Linked DNA regions of Canis lupus familiaris. The protein of the gene in region 2 interacts with the protein of the main gene of each other region in a pairwise test. Links are inferred from orthologs where the notes say so. Each region holds a gene or a part of one and is shown on either strand. Other genes may lie near its edges. The genes, in order: MAU2 and NIPBL.

The links.
Region 1: the proteins of NIPBL (region 2) and MAU2 interact in binary tests that used the Homo sapiens proteins (3 or more experiments, as listed by UniProt). The link is inferred for Canis lupus familiaris from reciprocal best matches to the Homo sapiens genes NIPBL and MAU2.

The regions. Positions count from the first base shown.
Region 1 is NC_049241.1:44,298,795-44,303,261, forward strand, and holds the start of MAU2 (MAU2 chromatid cohesion factor homolog), read right to left. Parts: upstream 2,898-4,467; 5' UTR 2,848-2,897; coding exon 2,572-2,847; intron 1-2,571. Other genes in the region: SUGP1 (SURP and G-patch domain-containing protein 1), read left to right, coding at 3,203-3,236. UniProt on the Homo sapiens protein: Plays an important role in the loading of the cohesin complex on to DNA. Forms a heterodimeric complex (also known as cohesin loading complex) with NIPBL/SCC2 which mediates the loading of the cohesin complex onto chromatin.
Region 2 is NC_049225.1:72,496,278-72,499,670, forward strand, and holds part of NIPBL (nipped-B-like protein), read right to left. Parts: intron 2,779-3,393; coding exon 2,504-2,778; intron 1,403-2,503; coding exon 1,228-1,402; intron 1-1,227. UniProt on the Homo sapiens protein: Plays an important role in the loading of the cohesin complex on to DNA. Forms a heterodimeric complex (also known as cohesin loading complex) with MAU2/SCC4 which mediates the loading of the cohesin complex onto chromatin.

The DNA.
Region 1 (4,467 bases), on a different chromosome or scaffold from region 2:
TGGTGGTAAGTGAGGAGGCCCATTGAAAGTTTTACCTGAAGCACTCAAAAGTTACAGAAAATTAGTTCAGAAAACAGCATGAGGAATGATCAAGGAGAAAACAGTCACAAAATGTCTATCCCTCTGTGTCTCTCATGAATAAATAAAATCTTTAAAAAAATGCTTTTTGATATTCTGGGTTGACTCCCTAATAAGAAATGGAAACCTATTTGGCCATTTGCTCTTCAGGACTAGAAACAAACCACTAATAAAAGAAGAACGTATTATAATTTTTTTTGTTGAGTGAACCTGGGAAAGGAACGAAGTTGACAGCAGCCTGAGTGTGGGGAGGGGGGGGATCACAGGACTAACAAAGAACGAAGATTAAAGAAACATGCTTGTGTTGCAACACAATAGGAAATTACATACAATTGCAGAAGAAAACAGCATGGAGAAAAGCACTTTAACTGAAAACTGGACAAATTCCTAGCTAGGGATGCAACTGACAGGAAGGAAGGGATTTCCAAGTACAATGTCAGTGTGAGCTAAAGAGGGGGACCTTGTGGCTGTGTGGAAAACCCCATAAGATTCAGGGTTCTGTAAAATCAAGGGAAGGCACTTCACAAGCATAATGGTTTAAATTATGGATCTAGAAGCCCAGCGGCTCCAAGGAAGCAATCTGAGGCATGGCAGCTTCCCCTCCACAGCACTGGGTAGGCAAAATGTGACAATACATACAACTATGAACCACTGCTCAAAAAAAAAGGACTGAATGACCCCCCAAGACAAGGGAAGAGGGTGGCAAGATTTGTTGTTAATTCAGAGAAGGGAGAGCTTCAGGACCCCAATTCACTGAAAGCATTGGGCCATGAGGCCTGAGCAGTCAGTCTCCAACATGCCCACACCCAGGGAAGTCTGGGGCTCCATTTGATCTCAGCCTCATCACTGCCCAGGAGAGACCTTACACCAACTGGTCACAGCTCAGGCATCTCTTGGGATTAACCTGACATCCTGAGTCGTTCTCCAGGTTTGCTTTCCCCATCCCATTCACGCTTGCTCAAATGTCACTCCTACAGATAGACTTTCCTCACTACGTCTGCCAAAAAAAAGCTCCCCATCAACTCCCATCTCTTCACCTTGGATCATATTTTCCATGGCTCTTCTATCATTGCCTAACCTTTTACTACACATTTAACGTTTGTCTCCTTCACACAAAAAAACATAAGCTCATGTTGACAGGGACTATTTTAGTCATCACTGATCTACAGCACCTAGAATAGAGCTTGGCACCTGGTGTGAACTGAATAAATATCTGCTGAATGAAGAGAAGAAAAAAAACTTCATAAAAACCATAATGACTTATTGTCTAGGCACTGAAGTTGCCGATCCTGAGCCCAAATTTGAGACAGTTTTGTTAATAATTTGATGTGTAGCTTTGGGCAAATCACTTCATCTCTCTAGACCCATACTGCCTCACTCCTAAAACAAGGAAGGTGATCAAGCAAAGACTAAAGTCCCCTTCCAACTCTTTACACTCTTTGATATTCTCCCAAAGGTAATTCATGACTAGACATAGGTGGGCTGGGATTTACCTCAGATGAATACACTTTAAAAACTTAAGTTGATTTTTTTTTTTTTTTAAAGAAATCTCTTAAGCCAAATTAAGGCCAGGTAAACGGCAAATGGAGGCCTGGTCTGACAGAAGCACAGCGTTGCTATGACAAGAAACAATGCCAACGCCAGAAGGGGCACAATGACAGCCACTTTCCCACATTCTTTGAAGCACCAAAATCCCACAAGTCAAGATAGGGGGATGAGGTCTCTCTTCTGAAGGGAATAGACTAACGCATGGTGGGAGGAAGAGAAGTCACCATGGATACAAAGAGAGCAAGAGCTTGGAGATTTCCCCCCCCATCCCACCCCACCCCATGGTAGAAAATGGTTCTGGAACATAGGCCCCCCTCAGTTCTGCCTTACAGGATTTTAATTTCTTTTCTCTGAGCCTCTGCCTCCCATCTATGACACCTTGCATTAGGGATAGAGGCACAATACCCTCCAGACACTTATCAGACTTCCAGGTCCAGGGAGAGGATGCTTCCTAGGTTGCCTGAGAGACCAAACTTAAGATTTTCAAGGGATGCCTGGACTGTCACCTTGGCCCTGCCCTATCCTGAGTCACTTCAGGAGGGAGCGTTCAAGCTGATGCTCACGGGGCTGAGCCCTGAGGAGCTCGAAGCTGCAGGACCCACTGGCCGATCTGGTGGCCTTCCCATAGGCACCATCAGATGATACTCTCCTGAAATCCTGGAGAATCTGGGGACCCTACTGTTCCTGATAAGAGACAACTCTCCAATACCCTGAGCGGGGTCCTGGGGCCCTGCCTGTCACTAGGGACGCTAAGTAAGGTACAGAGAGAGGCCCTCGGGTCCCCTGAGAGGCTGGCGGCTTCGGGGTCCTGCTGCTCGTGCGGAAGTCGCGCCCCAGGTACCCGAAGAGGGGCCAGACGGCCCCTGCCCGCTGGGGTCGCAGTCCGTCAGCCCAGGCCCCGGAAAGAGCCCGTGCCTCCTCCCTCGCGGCCGGGTCCGCGCTCACCGCCTTCTCCAGGTGGCTGCGCGCCTGTTCGCTGTTCTTGGTGTGGTGGTAGAGCACGGAACCGAGCTGTAAGTGCGTGCGGGCCTCGATGCGCTGCGGCGGCTTGAAGGGGAACACGGCCTGCAGGCAGTGCACACACAGGCGGATCTTGGGCGGGCTGGAAGTGCGGAAGTGCTCGGCGAAGCCCAGAAGCGCCAGGTACCACGACTCGGCCGCCTCAGCCTGCGCTGCCTGGGCCGCCGCCGCCTGGGCCGCCGCCGCCGCTTGAGCCGCCATTTTGGCCTCCACAACAACAAGCCGCCGCCACAGGGAGGCGGAAGCAGGCGCGCGGGGCGGGGCTGGGCCCTTCTCACACCTCTCGCGAGAGCTCCTGCATAGAGCATTCTGGAATATGTAGTTCGTCTTTGGAGCGGCTGCGGTTCCGGGGCAGTGTGCGAAAAGTCGATGCCCTTTGGTCCGCGGGACTGAGAACAGAGATTGCCAATAGACTGAGGTTTGTTTTCCTTGGGAAAAAACCCCAGGTATCTACTCAGCGGCGGGACTTGCTTGACCGTCACGGACTACATCTCCCATCAGGGCATGCGTACTATAACAAGGCTTCTCAAGTGGCACGGGAGCATTGTGGGATTGGATGAGTCTCAAGATGGACAACCGGGATGTTGCAGGTAACAGCCCCCGCCTACCCTCAAGCGCCGGTCTGGGTCCGCCGCGCTAAACGTCCCCGTTTCGTTCTCTCGGGTCAGGCTCGACCCACCGGCCCCTCGCCTCAGCCCTTAGGGCGTTCCAAAGCGGCGGCTTTCTGCATCTTCCCCGTCTCCCGAGACCCCAGACTCAGTTGCTGCCCCCACCGCCTGGTTTGCCCGGCATTCCGTAGAGGCCGTCACTGGGTCGGCCCTGCTCTCCCTTTCCGAAATAATCGCCTTCAGGACTGCTTAGAGCTCTGCTCCCTGAAACAGCAGCAACCTTGGACCGTCCAGCTCCCCCCTGTTCGTAGCAGCTGCTGTCTGGCCTGTGTCAGCTTTCTGAAAAAGCTGCTTTTTCTAACTGGTCTAAGACTTTTTTTTTTTTTCGGTGTTTCGAGCCCCACCCCCCACCCCCTTTACCTCAAGCCTTGCCTTTCCCTCTCTCCCAACCCTAGCTCCCCTTCACCCCAGCCTGGGATACATTCACCCATTCAGCAAATACTGTGTGCCAAGCACTATGCTGGGCGCTGGGGATGCAGTGGTAACCCAAAAGGGTCTTGCCTTCCTGAAGGTTACTTTCTACTGGGACGTCAAACAATGCATCAAGAAGAAATATTTGCAGAGACACAGGTATAATGATGTGAGAGCATGGGAGTGGAGGCTGCTGATACTGGGTGGCCAAGGAAGCCCTTTTTGAGCAGAACACATTTGAGATGGGGAGATGCCATCTATGGGAAGGCCTGGAGGGTAGCTTTCCACGCAGAGGGGAGATAGCAAGTGCAAGTCTTTGTGGTGCGATGGGCTTGTCATTCTGAGAATGTCAAGAATGAAGTGGAAGTAAGAAAGGCAAGTCCTTTCCCTGAAAATCAACTTACAGAATTTGGATTTTATTCTGAGTCCCATGGGGAGCCTCTGAGATCTCTTCTCCATCTCTGCACTTAACACCCTCACCCGAAGACACCATCATCTTTTACTTGGAGCCAGCAAGCCTTCTCATTGGTCTCCTTGCTGCTGCCATGCACTCTCCAAATAGTAGTCAGAATGATCTTAAAAATACTGTTGGTCAGGTTAATACTACTCTGTCACTCCCTAGAGCCCTTTAAGTAAAACCTAGATTCCTATCTTAAATCTTTTTTTGTTGTTGTTTAATTTTATTTATTTATGATAGTCACACAGAGAGAGAGAGAGAGAGTTAGAGACATAGGCAGAGGGA
Region 2 (3,393 bases):
TAAACAATTTAAAAAGAGGATGAAAATAATTTTTAGCTTTAGAGTATAAGGTTTGCAGTCTATGAATAATATGAAAAACATTGCAGATTTCATTCTTTTTAAAAAAATTTATTTTTAGAGAGTAAGAGGGAGGGAGAGAAAGAGTGCGTGAGCGGAGAGAGGGTGGGTGGAGGAGGGAAGGAGAGAGGAAGAGGGGAAACAGACTCCTCGCTGAGCAGGGAGCAGAATGCAAAAGTGGAGTTCTGTCTGGCCATGAGGAGATCATGACTTGAGTCATAACCAAGAATCAGACACTTAACTGACTGAGCCACGTAGATGCCCCTGTGTAGGTTTCATTCTTGGTCAAAAATATTATTAGTTATGTTCAGCTAGTTGCTTTAAGTTGATTAAAATAAAAAATATATTTTTTAGGGACAATCTCAAAACAAAACAAAACAAAACTTCATGTTTTTAAACATAAAACTTTACTGTGGTAAAATACACATAAAACTTACCATTCTAATGATTTTAAAATGTTCAATTCACTTCCATTAAGTATATTCATATTGTTGTGTAGTCATCATCACCATCATTTCCAAAACTTTTTTATCATTCCAAACAGAAACTCATTCTGTACCTATTAAAACAACAGCTTCCCCTTCCTTCCTGCCCCCCAGCCCCAGGTAACTCCTATTCCATTTTCTATCTCTAATGAATTCGTCATTTTAAAAGCACATTCTACACACACATTTTCTCACATATTTGTTAACTGGTTATGTATGTAAGGGTATGGTATATATGATACAAATATATAAACCAGTATTATACTTCTGTAAGAATACATGAATAGGTAGTAATACTGGTTGCCAGGAAGGAGAACAACAGAATGGCTGAGGAGGGCAGGAGGATGACTTTTCATGACTTTTGCTCTTATGAACTATAAACCATGTAATCTACTGAATTAAAAAAAAAATCCATATGCGGGCATGGTTTTTTCCTGAAACTTGCCCATAAACTCATTCTCACTAAAATAAAATGAGTAGTGGGCTGGCATTTCCTAAGGCAAAATATGATGCAATGTGTGAAATGGAAAAGGCAAGATTCCCCTAAATCATTAAAACCACATAGAGAAAAATAATCTGAAAGTTCATGAATCTTCCAGGTAAGAGAGAGAACCATCTCCCCCAAAGAATTTACTTTTCATAAAAGTATTATTAGAAGGAAATATATTTTGGTTTTACTACTCACATCTAGATACTGTTTTACTATACTCCTCTTCACATCCTCAGTGATTTTAGAATTAGCCATATCACTCCGCAGGAAGTCCAGTGTTTGTTTGGGATGAAAATGAACTCCTGTTTTCCGGTTTATCGCTTTATCATATACTTTTGCAGATTCAGATGGAGAGTATTTCTGAATTTTACTGTTTTGGGAAAACAAAGGCATTAAAATTTTTTCAGGCATTTATATTGAAAGTGATTGTAGTTAAACTTCATTTACTAATAATTAAACTTTTTGTCATACAGATTTCGACCAGTGAACTTGTACACAAAAATAAATATAATTTTAAAAAGGGAAGTAAAGACATAAAGGCAAAGATTAAAAAGAGTAATATTCTCTCGTTTCCATCAGTATTTGTCTTGAGTAGAGGTATCATTAAACGAAAGTAATTTCTCATGTCTGTTTTGAATACCATGATTGTGACTGTAGAACAGTTTCAATATAAATACTGGTTTACCTCCTACTTTCTTGCCCTCCAACTATTCATCCTCTACACAGCAGCCACAATGTTTACAAATCTGTTTCATATTATTAACAACTCTGGCTTAAAAATCTTCCCAACTTCTTAGCACCGCCCCAAGACCTTACAAGGTTTTACATTATTTTTAATTAGTTGCCAACATTTAACACCATTTGGGTTCTATTGAGTTCAGCTTGGTTGGTCTATTCTTTACTTGCAGCTCTTTAAAAACTTAAATTTGCAATCTATTTTAAGATTATCCTAATTCTCTAATAAGATCTATTTAAGGAAATCAACAAAATAAGTCCTTTCATTTATAATGCAACTAGGGAATGCTTTTCCTCTTTTCAATAAATGAATGTACAAATTGTGGCATATTACACAACAAAATACTATATAGTAACAAAAAGGAACAAATTCCTTCTTTTAAAAGGAACATTTTTTTTTAATAAAAGGAACATTTTTTTTATTTTTTTATTAAAAAAAATTTTTTTTTTAATTTTTATTTATTTATGATAGTCACACAGAGAGAGAGAGAGTCAGAGACACAGGCAGAGGGAGAAGCAGGCTCCATGCCCCGGGAGCCCGATGTGGGATTCGATCCCGGGTCTCCAGGATCGCGCCCTGGGCCAAAGGCAGGCGCTAAACCGCTGCGCCACCCAGGGATCCCAAAAGGAACATTTTTAATATGAAAGTAAATACGCAGTCAAAACTGGGTTTCATGTTTCTTTATAATTTGAACAGGGTAAAGTTTTTTCTCTCATTGCTTATGTGTAACCTTACCTATCAGAAAATCCACAAAGATTCTTCAAATGTTGTTTTAACATCAGAAGCAATAAAATACCCTGGGAGACATTTGCAAATTCAATTAAAGGAGCTGAATTTTCTGGCAAACATTTCATCACTGAATTTATATCATCTTCTGAATCTGAATCTGAATCTGAATCTACACGTTTCCGTGACTTCCGAGGCCTGGAAACTTCTTCTTCACTCTCACTTGACTCATTTTCCTTACTAGGTGATGATTTTCTCTCTTTCCTTTTGTCTTTTACCATTGACTGAAAAGAAAAAAAGAAAAAAAGAAGAAAAAAAAAGGAAAAATAGTAACAAAATACCACTAAAAAAATTATGCTCTATTCACAAGCTTCAAAAAGCATCTCTAAATTAGTATTTTATATGTTGAAACTCTGACTTTCCATAAACAACAATTAGGTTCCAAGACTAAACAAAATCACATAGAATTCACTCTGATTACCCCCTCCCTAAAAGCCCTTATCAAATATCAAAGGGAAACACTTTTGTTATAGGATAGAGGTGAAAGATAAATTGGTTATAAAAGTATTGATTTGTTACATAGGTTAAGCCACTATAGAGAAAAAGCAGTAATCATAATTTAAGTAAGGAAAAGGATGCCTGGCTGGCTCAGTTAGTAGAGTATGTGACTCTTGATCTCAAAGGTCATGAGTTTGAGCCCCACGATGGGCAGAGAGATTATTATTTTTTTTTCAGAGAGATTATTTTTAAAAAATAATACTGAATATAATTTAACTGAGGAGAATATAATAGGCTTGAACACCCCAACTTTTACCAAACTCTCCCTTTTAAGAACTTTTCAATAAGATAATATGCAACTTTTCTTAAACAGTTAAATTCTATGTTTTTTTTTTTTTTTT